Linked DNA regions of Drosophila melanogaster. The protein of the gene in region 1 purifies or fractionates together with the protein of each later gene. This does not show direct contact. Each region holds a gene or a part of one and is shown on either strand. Other genes may lie near its edges. The genes, in order: Cul4, l(2)dtl and mahj.

Region 1 (6,197 bases):
AAATTGCCGGTCCGGCACCCATCTACGTGCCCGATGTGCTGAAAGATAATGGGATAAGGACCAGCAGTGTGCGACCTTCGGCGGCAGCATTTGGGGGCTACGGCTCCGACAGCGTGTCCGAGTACGACAGCTCACAATACAGCGTCAACAGTGTTGAGGCGTAAATGGTATTATTGTCGGGAGACACTACAAATATTTTTGTAATATATCTACAAAAGCCACTAAGAACTTTTCAAGTTGGCAGCTTTGATTTGCATACGAAAGAATGACAGGAGGATAACAGCAAGGCAATTTGTGATACCTAAACCAGCCTCAATGTCATTTTTAATATGACCCCTGCACGCGAAAGCGATAGCAATATTTATTTCTGATCTGTATATAATCTACCTAATTTCCCAATTTTATCTGTAACTGTATATATACTATATTCCTTTGCTAACTGCTTAACAAAGGGCTCGACGCTGATTTTTTGAAGCAGTAATGCTGGTAATATTTTACAAATGAAACACGAAGTGCATTATATTTTCAAGTAATTTTTTATTTATGGTAAATAAAAAACTATTAAGTTATGCGTATCTCTTTTTTGCATACAGAGCTACTAGTACGAGTTATAATTATTTTAATGTTTCCTTTAGAAAATTAGCCTGCAAATGTCACTTCTATTGTTAATTGAAGGAGAATTATCAATTAAAAGTAAACAAATTAGAATAAGTCCAATAAATAAGTTTATTGAACACCTAGTTTGCTTTCGGTTCGAAAACTTTTTTAAATTGCTGGAGGCATCGACGTTCCGAGGGCGATGACCTATTTCAAAGGACTCGGCTTGTAAAATAAACGCTTAATTTATTGTATGATAAGGTAACTTACAAAAAGAACTGTCGCTACACTATTAGCTGGCGGATTGTTCAACGATTTAGTTATAGAAACGAAATTACAGCTGAAAAACTCTGAACATCGCCGATCGGACGAGGGCACTCCAAAAACTTCATTAGACTGCTAGTATGTATGTGTATGGTATAGAGCGAATTACAATCGAATCGGTGTTCGGATTTCACAGAATCTGTGGCCATTTATGCCACATAGTTGTATTGGTTTTGATTATCCTTGTCTCGCTCCATGTAGTCGCGGTCGATGAGCGACTCGATTCGCTTCTTTAGGTCAGCGGGCTGGAATACCAACGAACATATTAGCTTCTTTCTACTTAGAACAAATAGGATTAGTATACGGACCTTGACAGGGAAGGTAAGCTGGTTGAACAGCTCGGTGATGAGAAGATTATGGCTCAGCGTTTTTCGCATTTTCATAATGCGCACAATAGCCGCATCAATTTGATACTGACGATCCTGAAACACACGCTCCTCCGTCGCCTTTTGCTCCTCATTCTAATGGAAAAGGGGAAAGATTAAGTGTGTGCAAATTACATCAAAACTAAAGCCACTTACTGTCTCCTTCATCTGTATTTGGTTGATCTTGATTCTAAACAATTTGTTTGTGAACTCATTGTTAAAATCAAACTGATCGCCATCCAAGATTTCGCGGCCTTTCGGTGTTTTTGTTATGACGCGGGCGCGCCCACAAGCCAGGGACTGAAGTGTTCGACGCAACTCTCCATCCTCGATGAGGGTGGCGGCCAATATCTCCTCGTAGCTCAGAACTGGCTTATCGTTAAACAATAGAAGCACAAGCGCTTGAAACAGCGAGACCAACAATTCTTTCGGTCCCTGTGAAACATACGTAAACATTGCAATCGCATAGAACATAGTAGGAGCCATTAGTAGTTACCGCATCGAATTGAGCACGCAGCATACAATTTCCTAATGTAGGCTGCCACTGCAACTTCCGCCCACTATGCTTTTCCAGATAAAATTTGTTGAAAATCTGCTGAGGATTGATGAACTGTGGCGGCATTGTGACCTCTGTAGGTGCATATGTAGGCCAGTAGCCCATGGTAAGAATGCTGACGCACAAGTCCAAGTTGTGGACATCGCGGTTGTTGCTTAACGCGTGTCCGCGGAACGCAATGTTGATATCTCGGCTCAGTTCCATGTCCTTAAACATGCCCTCCAGCTTGGACGTAAACCCTCCACCGCACTCCTGCTTAAGCTTGGAGAGCATACTCTTTTCGGAATCCACTGATGCCGATTTGCCCACAAGTAATCGTTTGGCCAAGTCCTAAGATGGTATTCGTTATTAAATAATGCTCGACATACAATAGATGGACACAACCTTTTTGTAAAACGCTTCAAATACATCTTTGCCATGTATAAAACGAAACAGAACCATGATTTTATCTAGAGTCTTTTCCAACTCCTCATCTGTGGTTCCCTTGTTGCCAGATCGCAGTTTCATATCTACGTATTTAGCTAATGGAAGAATAAACTTTAGCAAACTCGTTTAAATATAGTGACAGTGGGCGCTTACCAATAAGCTCGGCCGGCTTGTTGGCACGTTGGTTGATAAAGAACTCAAAGGCCTCGCGCAACGAGTTTGTGAATTTCTCATTGTGCTCAAAGCAGGTGCGAACTATCACATCCATTTTGTCCTTGAAATCGAGCAAATCTTGGACCATGCTCTTATCCTTCTCGGGATCGATGACAATGGTGCGTCCCTTTTTCTGAAAGTAAGTATATTAGCGCGATCTATTAATATGTTTTACTGCAGTTAAAACAAAGGTATCTTTAAATAAATTTATACTACTTAACATATCCATACCTTAATGAAACCGTTGAAATTGCCGCACAGCTCGGATGTTCCATTTTTGACTCGACTAAGCAGCCCGTACAACAGTGTAAGGTCACTCAGTCTGTTGTCTTCCAACAATGAATCCAAGCCCTTCTGCAATATTGACGTTAGGTGTTCGGCAAGTAACTCTTTTTCCACATTGTAAATCAGTGGATGTCTGTAAAAAACGCATTAATAATTGTTTTTATTATTGACTTCGCCAGCATACTTGGTGCTCGAGTCCAGATAGTGACGCAAACGCTCGTTCTCCTCGGCCAAACGCTTGTTGACGTGTTGTAAGTACTCGGGAACTTCCAGTTCTTGCATCTTGCGTTGACTCTCAGCCTTATACAATTGATTGGTTGCGTCGAGGAACTTCTCCTCAAAGGAGCTGGTGTAGATCTGCAGGTCGCATAACATGCGAACCAAGCTCTTCAGCAAACCACGGTCCACGGTGGAGCCTTGTCGTTCTTTTTCAATAAGCGTTAGTAAACCGTCGACGGTTCGCTTTTGGACAACGCTGTTTTGAGCAAAATGGATGCGAAAAAGGTCCAGCCCCATGTCCCAAATCGAGTGAACGGTCGAATTTTGCAGCACATAAGTTCGATCCATATACAAGAATATGCTGCGAATCATGATCATTTGTTGGCAGAACGAGAGCCACCAGTGGTTGATCTTTTCCAGCAAAATCTAAAAGACAATAAAAGTTGACGAGTAAACCTTTAAATGTGCTCCTTAAACAGCAACTTACCAGTTTGTCCATGCTACCGCCGGTGAGCTCCTTGAGCTTAATATTGCGCTTTACGTGTTGCTCTGTTAGCTCCTTGAGTTTCGCGTATAATTGTGCATCCATCTTGTGGCTACACATGTTCACCACCGCCTGGTAGAGCTCCTCCAGCGAATATTTAATGGGCTTGGAGAGTTGGATGGCGATAACGGCTTCTTCAAGCTTCACGTACGTGTCCTTGGAATAGTTATCGGGCAGTGTAGGCTTATCTAAGGAAGGAAGGAAGGAAGTTGAATCATGCAGTATACAAACAGTTGAGATCTAGACGGGACCTACCCTTAAAGTTCTTAATCACTATCTTCTTGACATCGCCAGGCTTGCTGTTGTGAATAGCCCCCATGCGATTGAGGAGATTTGAGGTAGTTGAAGCCGTGCGGATCTCGCCATGGCTGCCGCCTAGCTTGGAGAAGTTTGGCAGGCGCTCGCCGTTGGTGGACGCAGAATTCATGTTTTGGGCAGCGAAGGCACTGCGGCCCACGCTCGAGGCGGCAGCAGCGGTGGGGGCGACGTTCTCGGCCTTCTTCAGGCAGGCGGCAATATTCTCTGTGTTCTCGTGCAGCTCAGTTGTGTCCATGGGCTTGTACTTCTTGGCCGCACTCATAGCTTAGGGCCCCTGCTGCCAGCAGGATCTCCACTCCGCTCCTGCTCTCCTGATCCTGCCCTGCTTTCGTCGCACCGGCTTTGCTTAGTCCTGGGCGTGGAGATCGGTTATTGATTGCTGGCTTTTCCTTTAAGGGAAGGGATTGCAGTTTGTATTTCGATACGTACCCTTGAAATGATTACCAGCAAATATTCGTAATATTTTTGCGACTTTTGCACTGGGGTCGTCAAGAAATTGGCAACTTGCGAACTCAAGGCAAATAGACTTCCTGTGAATTTTCCGGCTGCGAAGTAGATTTCTCCGACAAACGGCGTCCTTTTGGACAAATGGGGTTCCTTCGACGCCTGAGAGACTATTCAAATCGACAAAACTTCGGAAGTACAATTACACAGGCAACATTTTATTATTTCGCTTTTGGTTGCATGCGGAAAATATTGCTTTTTGGGATATCGGACGAATCAAAACATCGATTGGCTGCGGGTAATCGATAGCTCAGCGGGCAGCACTGCCTATCGATATTGGTGTGAAACAGGTTAACATTGCCTATCACTGTTAGCACGACGCATTGTGTTCGCGACGCATTTATGTTCGCTTTCGCCATATAAAATGAAAACAAAAGATGAGAAGCCATCGCCTTTGAAAACTGCACCGCGTAAAATAAAGGGTGAGAATTTTCCAGCCAGAAGGATACCCGCAAATGTTTTGAAACGCACGCTTGAGATCGCCACCAGTCCCGAAGATGGCTTTTGGGTGAACCAAAACCCATCCTGTGCTCCTCCGGCCAGTAACGAGTTTTACTTCAGCGTTCGACGATCCACTGCGTACGAGAAACTACGACTGGCCCGGGATTGCCTTATGCAGCGGGACTACAAGAACTTGGCAAAAATACTGGCCTCCAATCATATGGGAGAAACGCTGCTCCAAAGGGCGTCCTTTCAAATATTCACGGAATACTCCAAGGTTCTTCAAAAGTGCCCAAAGTTCTACACGAAAATGGAGCAGTTGCGAGTGGAGCCGACTCCTCCGACGAGACCCACAGATGAAGACATAGCATTAGACGATTCATTAAATGCTATTCTATCCTAGTTACCTTTTTTAATAACGACGAAGTTAGGCAAGAAATATAATATAACTACCTCATAAAAAAACGCATATTAAATTGCCTATTAAAACTGCGTCCATCCCACTAATATATAGTGACGTATTTGGGTGGTCCAAACCAGCCACTTCCATTATTTCAAAGAAATCAGTAATGCACTCTAGTAATTTTCCATAACGTATCCCAGCTGCGCAGCATTCGTTTATCTTTGGCAGCGCAGCCGTTCTTGTAAACATCCTAAAGCCTGACCTAAGCAGATTTGACTGCCCTCTTTCAACGCTACCTAATCTTAAGAACCCAAGAGCGAGGCTCTCCCGAAATACAAATATTGTTCAAATACTGAGGCTTCTCCTCAATCCAATTTGCATTTGATTTTTAGTCTTAAGCTGAGATCCAAAGAATAAAGTCGTGAAACTATTTCTCCTAAAAACTATTTTTTATTTCTTGGCGTTGTCCTTAGTCAACTGACGGGACATTAGTTCGACTCATAAATAAAACAACAATTTTACTGGCGCAGTCGGTAGGATACAAAAGTATCCGAAAAAAAAAGAACCTTCGAGTGGAAAATAAGTTAAATTTTATAGTCCAGTGCTCGAAACATCTCCCAAAATAAATTCGTGAAAACTCTTCAACTTGGATTATAATTCCAATTCGGTTATCCAATAATAAGTGGAAGTGAAATACGAAACAAAAATATTAAGTCCAAAGGCAACTAAGTTTTAAAACCAACATATAAAAATAAAAAATTAAAACAATATAGAATTTTAATAATACAACACAAAAATTTACAAAACAAAAAAAAACAAACAAGTGAAACTAGAAAGCTTAAAAATAATAATAACATTGAATCCGAAACAAAACAAAAAAATAAAACACAAAAGTTAAAAATTTTACAATAAAAATGTCACAACCAATTATTGCGCTGAGCGACATAAACCTTGCCGAAGCCCGTCGGCAGCTTAAAGACATTATGCCATTCAAGGGTGATC
Region 2 (5,395 bases), about 16 Mb from region 1:
ACTAAAGCGGATGGGAGGGGTGGGATTGGAATTCAGATTCAGACATTATTATCGCTGCATATTCATTGACTAAAGCATTGTGGCAAAGAAATACGAGCAGTACGAGCAAACAAAACGGAGCAACAACTCAGCAACCAAGGAAAACTTAAAACTGAACACTGAATGGTGGCAACTGAAAAGCAAATCAGCTCCGCTCTTCTCCGCGGTTTACCTTCCAAGTTCCAGTAGTCGACGCTCCACAGCAGCAGACATTGTCGAAGCCCGGCCACCGACATCGCGACTATATATCACACATATATTACACCGATTCCAGTTGCAAGCATTGATAAGGGAATTATAGACAGAGATATAAAAACATGAATGATTGGGCCATGTACATCAGCGCCGTATCTTTAGATAAAGGAAACCTGGTTCTTTCTTCGCTGTGCTTCTGTGTTTCTTTGTGCTTTACGTGAAGTGGGCAATAAAACAGTCTGTGTGGCCTACGTTTAACTACAATGAGTCACTCAAATGCAATTACTTTTACCTATAGTGCTGGGAACTGAAACATTGGAGGAGAGTCCTGTAGGACTGAAGTCTGTTTAGACTAATAAATGGAATCAACTAACATAAGTCACATTTCTATTTAAAGAACAAAACAAAACGATTAATGTACGCACAACTTTATTTGTAACGAATAATTTCTTATCGAGTGTTCGTCACAAGCTTTTAACAAACAAAACAGGAATCTAACGATAATAAGACATTCTGGGGAATTCGAATTGGGTTATCATCGTAAACACAACATAAAACGAATAAATTTGATATAAGGAATTTAATGTACAGTCAAAGTTAGAGCTCCGCTGCTCCACAACTTTGCTGCTTTCCACACACAGATATAGGAATGCTGCCGTATTAATAATGGATGACCAACTGCGCCCCTCTGACCGTATCTATAAGGTCGTTCTAACGGCGCGGCGTACGTGCTGGAGCCCGAAATGGAAATGCGGCAGTGCTTCCAACTGTCCAAACAAGGAGTCCCGATCAGAGCTAGTTGGGTGACGGAGTGCTGGGGGGAGGAAACCGCTGGCGGGTCAACAGAGTTCAGACACACATAGGTATTAACTAGAAGTCGTGACTAAGCCTAATCTGGAGCAGGGCATCCCTGGTTGCTAATTTAACTAAGTGAATGCCAGTTCCAGTTAGATAACGCCCGGCAATAGAACCGTGTCAGGACACGGACTGCTCCAAATGGCTAAGGTCACGCGAAGTGCAATAAAAGAAGGCCTATCCCTTCAAAGGAACGGAGTGTGGGTCCCCCAAGGACGCCAGTGGAGTGCGGAAGTGCGCTACAGCCGAAACCACAGAGTACTTGAGTTCGTTGGGCCATTCTTCTCCTGGCTTTCCTGTTTGTCCTGCATTTGCGTGTTCCGTTTTCGCAGCAGGAGGGTTTCTTTACCTTCTGGGTGTTATTGATTGCAACAGGCTGTGTGTGATGCCCGCCCCCTTGAAACCAGAATAGAAATCCAATTTGGCGCTCACCTGTTTTTGTTTTTGTTGTTGCTGCAGTCCTTGAATCGAATCCTTGAGTCCTTGAGTCCAAGTATGTGTGTGTATGGGTGTAATGTGTGCTTGATGACCAGTGTCCGCAAATCGAAGTGCTAGCGAAAGCAACTGAAAGGGGTTGGCTGCATTAAAGCCCGCGAACTGCGTACAATTTGCAGCTAAATTTATGCGCAACTTCGATTAAACATAAAACAACTCAGCGAACAGCAACAAAAACAAAATATCAGCCTGTGAGACCAGCTGCTTGTAGCAACCAAATGTTAGACTGAAACGAATCAATCTTCCGTGGCTAGTATTATTTTCACTTTTGGCGGTTCTCCAGTCTTTCGCAACAGAATGCGTTTACTTCCCATCTGAGCACGGTCACACTGCCCAAGAGTCCAGCTGCGTCGTTGAAAAATATTTTCGATGCCTCGAAGGTTGATTTATTTCAGAGGAAATAGCAGGAAATAAAGTTGAAAACGCAGATTACGAGCAGCAGCCGCCAAGAGGAGTGCACAATGAACATTTACAACAAGTTGCGGGCCAGGGAGCATGGCTACGGTGAGTCTTTCGCTTGGCGGGAGAATCTCACTTTTGGCGCTCGAATTTCCTGCGATCAAAGGTGTTGATTTTTAAAAGGTTTCAATGGGTTTTCCTGGCCATCTGGTCAATGTGCATCCTGCACGGCCACCTGACCACAGAGCATTGCCTAAGGGGTGAAGAAACCCGACTAGTTGCTCCACTGGAAACTGCTGATCGTGCAGAAGTTCCGTGGAAAACAAAGCCACGGCACTATTTTCATGGTTTCTCCTCTGGTTTTCGTTTTTCTTTTTAGGCAATGAGAGGACCTACGACTTCGCCCTGCGCCGCCTTTCCGTGGCCAAGGAGGACAGCTGGCGGGGCATCGCGCCGGCCAACTACTGCCCAGACTTCAATCCGGAACCGCCGATCTTCTCCGCCAAGTTCGCCAACTGCGATGGCTATCGGCACATCCTGGCGATCGCCAACGAGGACGGCAAGATCACGCTGCAGGACACCACCCAGCGCAACCACCAGCCGGAGGAGCAGTCCCTGGTGGGCCCGCAGTGCCACTTCAACGCCGTTTTCGATCTGGAATGGGCACCCGGCCAGATGCGCTTCGTCTCCGCCTCGGGCGATCACACTGCCAGACTGTGGGAGGTGGCGGGCTCCGGCATACGCGGCCTGAACTCCTATGTGGGTCACACAAGGTCCGTCAAGTCGGCGGCCTTTAAGCGCACCGATCCCGCTGTCTTCGCCACCGGCGGCCGTGATGGCGCCATTCTCATCTGGGACATCAGGGCCAATCTCAATATGGACCTCACGTCACGCGTGGACAACTGCATCTACAGCGGTCACACGGGCGGACCGGGCACGCCAGTCTCACAGCGCAAGCAGCGCACACGCACTCCCAAGATGGCCGGAGGAACCACCTCGAGCAGCATCACTGGCTTGGCCTTCCAGGACAACGATACGTTGATCTCCTGTGGTGCCGGTGACGGAGTCATCAAGGTGTGGGACCTGCGGCGCAACTACACAGCCTACAAAAAGGAGCCACTGCCCAGGCACAAGCTGCCATATGCCGGCAGCTCCACCTTCCGTGGATTCACCAACCTCATTGTGGACGCGTCAGGCACGAGGCTGTATGCCAACTGCATGGACAACACCATCTATTGCTACAATCTGGCCTCCTACTCGCAGCGCCCGCTGGCGTGCTACAAGGGACTCCTTAACTCCACGTTCTACATCAAATCCTGCCTCAGCCCGGACGGCAAGTATCTGCTGAGCGGAAGCAGCGACGAGCGGGCTTACATCTGGAACCTGGACCACGCCGAGGAGCCGCTCGTTGCACTGGCCGGACACACGGTGGAGGTAACCTGCGTGGCCTGGGGCTCCAGCCACGATTGCCCCATTGTCACGTGCAGCGATGATGCGCGTCACAAAATCTGGCGGATTGGACCCGACCTGGATGGCCTCAGCGAGGCGGAGCGGGCGGAAAAGTACCGAGGAACTGCCTCCTACGTCAGGGAGTTCGGCAAGAAGGCATTTGGTCCGTCTAGTGGAAATCACAAGTACAATCTTCGAGATCTGGAGTCCACGCCAAGATCTCTGAAGCGCCTTATGGATCAAAATGAAAGGACGCCAGGTTCCGTGGAAAAGACGACGACCAAGCGTTCGTTCCTGGAAATGCTGGGCGTAGCTGGCCAGGAGACGGAAGCCACAGAACAGCCCCAGAAACGGGCGAAGCCACTGGAGTCACGTGGAAGGCGGCTCTTTGGACCTTCTAGCCAGGAAACTGCTTGCAGGCACATACAACTTCAGTCCATAAACGAGGAAGATGCCTCGCCGAGCAAGAGACAAAAGGAGAACTCTGCCGCGGAGGATGTCTCACCACTGCACAAGCTTCTCAGCACACCAAGTCATTCCCCTTTGAGTGAGAATGTCAACCATGTGTACACCTCCCCGCCAACCACGTCAGCGGCAGCAGCAGCGGTGGCTGCAGACGCGCTTAATCCGCCGCCGATCTCCGCTGCCATCTACTCGCCCACCTCCAACCTGCCCAATTACGTGCTGGATGGCGAGGCACCGCACCTGGGCATCATGTCGCCCAAGCGGAAGGCGAAGGAGAAGGTGGACTGGCTGACGAATATCCGCAAACAGAAGCTGATGAGTGGCAGGGCCCATGTGACGCTCAGCGAAAAGATCAGCGAGGAGCAGCAGGCCGATGTGCTGGCATCCCCGCGCCTCCAGAGTCTGCGGCAGTCAGAGTGCAGTCCCAGGATACACGCCTCGCCCCGCAGACGCATCTCCCATACGGACGGAGGCGGTGGCACGCCGGCTGGCAGCTCCTCGCACTCCCATTCCCAATCCCAGCCAAAAACGCCCACTTCCAGTAGGCGAAACAGCGAGACGACGCTCCTGCGATTCTTTAGCATTCAGAGAAGTAGCAGTGTGCCGGCGGAGGAAACAACGACAACGAATGCGGCTCCCTCCTCTTCTGATCCCCATCCCCCGGCAGTGACTGCGCCCGCAGCCACGCCCCTCAGCATGCGCACGCCCACGACGGCGGTGGGCAGCGATTGACGCGGAGCCTCGAGCCACAGCACCATTATTGCACTTGTAGTTTTAAGCGGACATTGTTTAAGTTATTTTATGTAGATAGTAGGTTGCATCTATCGCGGGACGAGTTGGTAACCAACTCCCCGCCCTCTGTACAGAGCCAAAAGATACGAAAGACTAACGTACCCGAATAAAAGTAACTCCATTTTAAAGCTGCCTTGATTGATTCTCTAAAAACTAACTCGTTTAATGTACTGTTTATTCAATTTTTTTTTTGGCATAATCAAAACGGTTTATATGTGGCACTCATGGCTAACAAGTGGCACTCAGACCATTTTACTGCAGCTTTTTCTGTTGCTCCTGCTGCTCCCTCTTGGCCGCATTATTAATCCGCATGGTCTGGACAAGCTGCTTGGCCACCCCAGCGAGCAGTATGATGTGGGTGAAGTGAAGGGCAGCGCTGGAGAAGTTCGTACTGGGATAGGTGTTCCAGCAGTACTCAATCAGTCCGAGGATCAGGCAGCGCACGCCCAGCGAGTACGGCGTCGACCAGGCCAAATAGGGTAGCGAGTGGAAGTACCAGACGTAGAACTGATAGTGCAAGGATCGGGAGCAGGCCACGCCCACCAGGTTGCACAGGAAGAACGGCAGCAGGGCCAGCTGGGTGCAGCGATCGAAGTGGATGCCATAGCGTTCCGGTTCCGCCTGTGCGGGTGCCGGAGTGGCCTTTCCTCCAGACGCCTTCTGCAGGCTCTTCTCGAAGGCCTTCAGGAAGGATTGCTGCTCGGTT
Region 3 (7,619 bases), about 14 Mb from region 1:
CGTGTAGCTTCCTCTAAACAGACTGTATCCATGGGCGCATCCTGCACGACATGATCGATCTCGGGGAAGCGAAAGAAGTTGCCGTTCTTGTAGCCGGCCGAGTTAATAATGTTCAGGGGTGAACCGGACACGTTTAGGTTGTTGATGGAGGATAGTAGTTTCGGGGAGTAGCTTAGGCGACTGGCCTCCAGTCCCGGCGTCGTGGAGGACTCATCCTTAAACAGGATGGTGGGTGAGTTGTGCTCGCTCTTCGACAAGTACAAGCTGTTCTCTAGGTCTTGGTCGACTGACCCGCCCTTGGGCATAGTGTTCTCCTTGTCGATGCCACGGCCACTGACCCGCTCCTCGCCGCTGGAGGTATTAATATGCGGCGAGCAGGATCGGCGATCATACTGTGATAACCTCTTGAACTTGCGGCCTAAAGTGGGAGACTGTGAGCTGGATGGATGGTGGACGTGGGCTGCTGGATGGGGGCTGGTAATGGTGAACTGCCGGGGGGTGAAGACCTCCTCCTCCTGATCCTCGTGCTCGGGAAAGCCCGGAACCCCGCCCCCAACCTCCACCGTGGGCGACGGAAACTCGAAGGACGTCTGCAGGTACTCGAGGGGCGTAAAGTAGGGTGTACTCTTGTTGCTCTCCGCATCCTCGCCAGCTTCAAGTGGGGTCGTGTCGGAGGGGGCGGCGTGGGTGGGACGGGGGGTCTGTGGGTAGGGGTACTCAATGGGTGCATTCTCCTTGTTGTTGTTTCGTAGCTTGTCCATGATACACACACACAATTGCTGAAGCGGGGCGATCGCAGCGCAGTCGCTCCGCCCGTTTAGTGTCTTGTCCTCACTCGATCGGCATTATAACTATCTCGCCCGCACAGTTAGCACTTCCGAATTGGACGCAAATCATGGGGAAAAGAGCGTTTTCTTTTCACAACATTTTCAGAGCTAAAGCATGGAGGGCTACCAGACCGCGTATGTAATCGATCCGGCAATGCCTTCATTGCTTACCGTGCTGCCAGGCCGCAGACTAACTGCACCAAGACCTGGCAACGTTGTACCTAATTTAACCGCATTTTTCAAGTGTCTTTTAAAATAAAAAGAAAGAATAGGTTAACAGATCTAGTGTTTACATCAAGGAGTTGCAGAATTTGTAATGCAGATGTTGTACACGGGCGATAGTTAATTCAATCGATCAACTGAGATGGTATCAGACAATTATATTTTGCATGCATCCAGAAAAATTGTTGTAAAAGATCACAGACTTAGTTCTAAATAGTATTTCAACCTACCTGTATTTTTGTTTATGAAATCACTACAAAGTTGTGAACAATTTAGAAGCAACAACGTAGTGTTCCTATTACCACCGTTCCGTTTACCTCACAGTTGCACGTTGCTCTTTGGCACGCTTTTATCTGTGCATTTGCTTGGAAATAATTAATTGAGTTAGGCATTTAAATCCTTTTGTGTACTTTAGACTTATTTAAAGACCTTTTAGATTGGTTTAATTTGCCGAAAGACGAAAACAAACAAATTTGTGCGACAGCTGACTTCATTATTTCAACGACAATAGCAAAAGGCCACACTAATTTTGCGAAAAGCGCGTGGTATTTAATACCTTATTTATTTGCTTTATTTCGCCATTAGAAGTAAGTTTCGCTGTGTCGAAAATCTAGCAAAGAAAGCCACTGGATCAAGACCTAGTGCATCCAAAACCCAGTAATTCATTTCGATGTCTGAGGGCAGCGGAAGCGAGAATGCGGCCGCAGCAGAGGCTGCGGCCGAGGCAGAGGCCGCGACTGAAGCGGCACTGATGGCTGAAGCTGTGGCTGTGGCCTACCAGAGCGACGAGGAGGAGCAGCCAGAAGCCGAGGATATGCCGGAGCAGGCTGGCGATAACCAGGAAGAGGACGCCGCTGAACAACAGGATGGGGGGGAACCAGAGGCCGACGAAGACGCTGATGCTGACGACGCCATGAGCGTGGAAAATGCGGAAAACGAAAGCGATAGCGGTGGAAACGCCGAGGAAACCGCTGCCGCCGACCGTCGCCAAGCCACCAAGAAGGAGCTCACCCAGATTATCGACAAGTGGGAGCAACAGCAGACCCAAAATGGATACGATCCAGTGCCCACTCTCAGGAGGTAAGCGTGCTTCAAAATCATTAACGCATGGGTCCAACTTAATACCTTTACTATCGCAGCCTTGCGGAGATCTTTGAGCGTGAGAAGGACGTGTATCGGCGCAAGGATCCGGATCCCTTGGACTCACGACATCCATATAGAGCCGATCCCAGCTGCCAGTACGGATTGCTACTCAAGCTGCTCTTTCGGAAGGATACCTTCATGGGCAAAGTAAGAATAAAGTCATGTGATTTTTATTTTTCTAAAAAGCAATGTAAATGTTTTCTTAAAATCAGGTGTTTTAGAATTTCCAAAACATAAGCTAACTAAAGTGAAATATTTTATTTAACTAGCTCCTCAACGATTACCTGCGAGAGAACTATTTCAGTCGCCAGAATGTCAGTCGCAGTTCTCTAGAACTAAACATCTTGGCCTGCCGCCTCATTCTGGAGATAATGCCAGGAATGGAGACCTCTGCAGTATTTCAGACCGCCGAAGGCGATGGAACCATCAATCGCATCTACTCTTGGGCAGAGGACAGCATTGAACCGCTTCAGAGCTATGCCACCGGGCTTTTAGCCGAAGCGATGGAAGTGAGCGACATAGCCATAAACTTTCGCGATCTTAATATTCGATTGGTGCCAAAGATGATCAAGCGTCTGCACATGCTCCTGGCGATCAGCAAGAGCGCCACTTCAGATGTCAATACGTCGATGCACAATCTGTCGGCTGACAGCAGCACGGCGGGCATGCTTAGCTGGGTGGCCTGCGCCAGTAATGCATCGGCTCCTCAATCGCCGCAGCACAATGGCAGTGGGCTGGGAGCAAGTTCCTCGCAGCATGGAGACGCCTCTAATATGTCCATTCTGTTCGAGAACAGCAGAGATGCCTTTTCCGTATCTCGCTATTACAAACGGATGTACATTCCTTTGCACCCGGCCACAGCAGATACCAGCCAAATGTTAATCATGCGCTTCCTGACCAGCCTGGGCGAATATCAAGAGTTCCTAGCCATGGCTTTCGAAAACAATGTGATGCAGCTAATTTTTGGCTACCTGGAGAACTTGGATCGCCGGGACACCTGCTTGGCCTACGAAGTTTTGAAGTATCTGGCTTCCCTTCTTTGCCACAAGAAGTTTGCTTTAGAGTTCATTTCACACGGTGGACTGGAGGTCAGTAAATGGTCTTGTAGAGGGAATGTAATTATTTTTAACTTTACTATTTTTTACAGCTTTTGTTAAAAGTGCCCCGCCCCAGTTTGGCGACTACTGGTGTGTCCATCGCCATCTACTACTTAGCATACTGTGAAGACGCCATGGAACGCATATGCAGTATGCAAAGACCACTTATTTCAGAACTAGTTCGCTACGCGCTTTGGATTCTGGGTCGTTGCCACGACTCCTCAAAGTGCCATGCCACCATGTTCTTCAGTCTGAGCTTCCAATTTAAGGTCATATTGGATGAGTTTGATGCTCAGGATGGTTTAAGAAAGCTGTACAATGTCGTAAGTAAATGGTTTAAACGAAAGAAGTTCGATTAAAGTCAATTACCTTAACTTCTTCCTAATAGATTTCCGTACTAAAAATTCTTGATCCGAGCCACAACGACAGCGATAATGACTCTGATTTCAACGAAGACGTAGAATGTGCTTCCCGACAAATGGTGCGCCACGTCTGCGTAGCCCTCAAGCGCTATATGGAGGCGCACTTCTTCTACAAGTACAACAGCTTTCTGTGCCAAACAAATGCGGCATCCCCGGCACCGTCATCAGCCCACTATTTCAATCAGAATCCCACGGTTGCTGCCAAACTGACCTTTGACCAATTGAACGACCAGATTCGCACGCTCCAGGAGCACACTTCTATCCGGGCGCACTGGCAACCCGTGGATCAGCTAATGAAGCTTGGTGGAATCACCATGCTACTCAGGATCATCGCCTTCAGTTACGATTGGGTGAACAGTGGACGCTCCGAGACGGTGCGCTCGGCTCTGGACGTGCTCAGCGTATGCTGTATTATCCCAAGAGTTTATGTTGTGCTCTGCGAGCGCCTGCTGATGCTAGACAAGACAACTACCTCCGGATTTTGCTCGGTTCTGGGCGCTGCTGCAGGAGAGATTAGCTCGGATGCAGAGGTTATCAAATCGGCGTTAGCGGTGCTGTGCCATTGTGTTTGCTCTCCGATCATTCGCAAGGACAGCGGCACCAGCCTGATTAAGTTTGGAACGTCCTCCAGGAAGAACAAGGCCAACCATAAGTACGCCGAAGAGCTGATTGAACGTGTGTGGGAGTCCGTGTGCTCCAACAATGGCATTGTGGTCTTGCTATCGCTGATGCAGACCAAAGGACCCATTACGGATGCGGACTGTATACGTGGAATGGCCTGTAGGGCCTTGGCGGGACTTGCTCGCTCCGATCGGGTCAGGCAGATCGTCAGCAAGCTTCCACTCTTTGCCAGCGGACAACTCCAGACGCTGATGCGGGATCCCATACTCCAGGAGAAGCGCGCGGAACATGTAATCTTCCAAAAGTACGCATTGGAGTTGCTAGAACGAGTGTCGGGTAAGACGAAACCGCTAAATAATCCTTTGGATCCATCGCTGTCCAACATGCACAAGGCCAATGTAATCGCCCAGACACGCATCCAGTATAACAAGCAGCAGCTGTATCAGCTTATCTTCGAGCACCTGGAAAGCAACGGTCTCTCCCAGACAGCCCAAATGCTGCAACGGGAGGTGGGTCTTCCGCTACAGACTCCCACTACGCGCAGTTTTCATCAATCACCTTTCGACTACAAAAGTCTTCCCAGTGGTAGTAGCTCGCTGTCTAGAAATCGTCTGCGAAGCCGCATGCAAGATGTGAACGCAGCGATAATGGGCAATGGAGACTTAAACAGAAGTTTTGGTGAGGACTCCTCGCCGGCAGGAGCCGGTGGTAGCAATGCGGGAGATGGAGTCAGCATACCAAATTTTAGCTCCCTTAACACAACGCAGACGCCCATAAAAATAAGGAGGACGGATAGAAGTTCAGTTAGCCGCTCTATCCAGAAGCAGGCAATGGAGCCTGGTGGCATGTCAGTTGGTCTTGCCGAAGATGGTCAACTGCATCCCAAGAGGATCACCCTAAATACCATCGTAACGGAATACCTCACCAACCAGCACTCGCTGTGCAATAATCCGGTGACAACCTGCCCGCAGTTTGATTTGTACGAGCCGCACAAGTGTCCAGATCCGAAGCCCAGCCGATTGCTAAGCTCGAACTACAACCTGACTAGTCGGCATGCTCGAACCCAAGCCGGATTTAATACCAGTCGCTTTGACCGTCGCTATGTGCACACGCACTTTTCACCATGGCGTAGCATTCGATCGGCGGACTACGAGGACCTAGAGTTCACCTGTTGCGATTTGGCGGGTAAATACATCATTGTGGGCACGCAGCAGGGCGACGGACGAGTGTTCAACATGAACGATGGCGTGGAGCAGTTCTTCTCCAACTGTCACAACTTTAGCGTTGATGCTATTAAGGCTAATAGAGCCGGAGACTTGGTCATCACATCTAGCTTCTGGCGCACACCCACCAGCATTCTATGGTCTATTGCGGACGATGAGTTCAAGCTAAAGTTGCGACTTCCCGATGTCACGTACTGTGAGTTCAGTCAAACGGTGCAGGATCGTTTGTTGGGCACCCAGAATGAGGTATACTAATTTGAGTTATTTTACGATCTATAGCAGTTTCAACTAATAAATTCACCTTTTTTTCACAGTGCGCCACGCTCTTTGACATAAACACTGGTTCCAAGGTGGCCTCGTTTACGCCAACCATACCTAATCTCTACACCAAAAACAGAGCAACTCTTTGCCGAACCGATGAGCTGATTTTGTCGGGTAATTACATAAATGCATTTATAAGTATAAAGTTACCTGAAATGTAACTGAATCGAATTCCTAGATGGCGTTCTATGGGATGTGCGTTCCGGAAAGGAGATCCACAAGTTCGACAAGTTTAATCAGTGCATATCAGGCGTCTTCCATCCCAACTGTCTGGAGGTACAGTCGAAATTTGTGTTGATTTATTTATACCATGTTAATATTTCCAACACAATTTGTAGATCATTGCCAATACCGAGGTGTGGGACTTGCGCACCTTTCATTTGCTGCAGACAGTGCCGGTGCTAGACCAGCGTAACTGCACCTTCTCCCCGATGCATGTAATCTACGGTGCTAGCTTGGGGGCTGATAGGGACCATGACATGGAGACGACCACCTACGACACCAGTTTCAACGTTCTGGACGCCTACGACTACTCGAGCATTGCGACCATTGACGTTAAACGCAACATAAACGATCTGAGCGTCAGCGCCAACGGGAGTCTGATCGCCGTGGTCGAAGACTACAGTGGCTACGAGTCCAAACAGGAGACCTACGTGAAGATCTACGCTGTGGGCGTTAAAAAGAGCGAGCGCTCGGAAGAGGTGCGTGCGGTTAAGGAGCTGGCCAGCGAGGTATCGGACGCAGTGGCGCCGGGGTCGGCAAACGCTAACGATGGTGGCGATGCTTCGCTGCTTCGGGTTTTCGAGGAGCCACCCGAGGAGCGCCCACAGCCGGCGGAAAACGCTGCACCCGCCGGTCCCAACGATTTTGAGGAGGATCAGCTACGCCGGCTAAGTCCCGCCACGCAAGCAAGTCCAAATCTTTCTCGCCAACATGCACCCAACAGCTCAATTGTTGGGGTGCGACGGCGGGCACGTAGACTGGGTGGCAATGGCAGCGGCAATGGCAGTGGCGGGAATGGGAATCTGAATCTTAATGGTGGTGGCGGAGTCGGAATCGGCGCTGCCATAGATCTGAGAACCCTCATGCGGCGCATGGATGATATTGAACTAAATATTATGTCTATGCTTGCAGGAAGATGATGAGGAGGTGCCCGAATCTGATGAGGACGGTTCGGATACGGGCTCCGAGAACAGTAAGTTTGATTTTGATTATAATCATTTAATCCGTTGCTAAATCTCCTTACTCCCTAGCTTTTGCTATAGGTCAAAATTTACTGGGTTTCCCCCTGCTTCGTAACCTTCATGGCTCGGACAACGATGACGAAGATCTGGATGAGGACGACGATGATGGAGAGCCGCTGGACTCCGATGACGATAGTGACGACGACGACGGCTCCGACAATGGCGACGACGATGGCGACTTTGATGTGCTGGAATACTTCGATAGAAGCAGCTCAGACGGTAACTCAAGATCTTTAGACTCTGTTCGTGTACGACTTGTATTTTCTCCTCCCCTAGATTGAGCCCACTCCTCATCCAAACCAACAACACACACAACTGTTCCTTCACCGATCCACTGCTCCGCTCCACTGTTCACCCACTGTTTCGTCTCGTCTCGTTTGAACCTCTTAGTTGTCCGCAGCGCGCATGGAAGGATGAGCAAGCAACAGTCGTCGTAGCATAAGCACTCTAGATATTAAGCTGTTACATTAAAATCTAAATTGTTATTTTTGAATTTTGT

The links.
Region 2: the proteins of Cul4 (region 1) and l(2)dtl purify together in Drosophila melanogaster (affinity purification with western blotting, with the first as the bait; one study listed by BioGRID). This does not show direct contact.
Region 3: the proteins of Cul4 (region 1) and mahj purify together in Drosophila melanogaster (affinity purification with western blotting; one study listed by BioGRID). This does not show direct contact.

The regions. Positions count from the first base shown.
Region 1 is NT_033778.4:8,101,741-8,107,937, forward strand, and holds Cul4 (cullin 4), read right to left. Parts: upstream 4,579-6,197; 5' UTR 4,277-4,578; intron 4,200-4,276; 5' UTR 4,110-4,199; coding exon 3,785-4,109; intron 3,718-3,784; coding exon 3,473-3,717; intron 3,412-3,472; coding exon 2,951-3,411; intron 2,900-2,950; coding exon 2,713-2,899; intron 2,615-2,712; coding exon 2,422-2,614; intron 2,364-2,421; coding exon 2,227-2,363; intron 2,173-2,226; coding exon 1,783-2,172; intron 1,722-1,782; coding exon 1,443-1,721; intron 1,383-1,442; coding exon 1,230-1,382; intron 1,167-1,229; coding exon 1,071-1,166; 3' UTR 868-1,070; exon of another isoform or gene 805-867; 3' UTR 520-804; downstream 1-519. Other genes in the region: Tmem63 (transmembrane protein 63), read left to right, coding at 1-164; udd (under-developed), read left to right, coding at 4,716-5,195.
Region 2 is NT_033778.4:23,700,590-23,705,984, forward strand, and holds l(2)dtl (lethal-(2)-denticleless), read left to right. Parts: upstream 1-1,887; 5' UTR 1,888-2,045; coding exon 2,046-2,088; intron 2,089-2,362; coding exon 2,363-4,629; 3' UTR 4,630-4,814; downstream 4,815-5,395. Other genes in the region: sigmar (salivary glands marred), read right to left, coding at 1-1, 212-275; Alg3 (ALG3, alpha-1,3- mannosyltransferase), read right to left, coding at 4,942-5,395. UniProt on the Drosophila melanogaster protein: Substrate-specific adapter of a DCX (DDB1-CUL4-X-box) E3 ubiquitin-protein ligase complex required for cell cycle control. The DCX(DTL) complex, also named CRL4(CDT2) complex, mediates the polyubiquitination and subsequent degradation of E2f during S phase.
Region 3 is NT_033778.4:21,623,477-21,631,095, forward strand, and holds the start of mahj (mahjong), read left to right. Parts: upstream 1-1,553; 5' UTR 1,554-1,719; coding exon 1,720-2,129; intron 2,130-2,188; coding exon 2,189-2,339; intron 2,340-2,461; coding exon 2,462-3,280; intron 3,281-3,339; coding exon 3,340-3,612; intron 3,613-3,677; coding exon 3,678-5,801; intron 5,802-5,869; coding exon 5,870-5,990; intron 5,991-6,054; coding exon 6,055-6,152; intron 6,153-6,214; coding exon 6,215-6,577; intron 6,578-7,010; coding exon 7,011-7,071; intron 7,072-7,129; coding exon 7,130-7,339; intron 7,340-7,396; coding exon 7,397-7,401; 3' UTR 7,402-7,619. Other genes in the region: PTP-ER (protein tyrosine phosphatase-ERK/Enhancer of Ras1), read right to left, coding at 1-761. UniProt on the Drosophila melanogaster protein: Probable substrate recognition component of tsome E3 ubiquitin-protein ligase complex. Plays a key role in cell competition via its interaction with l(2)gl.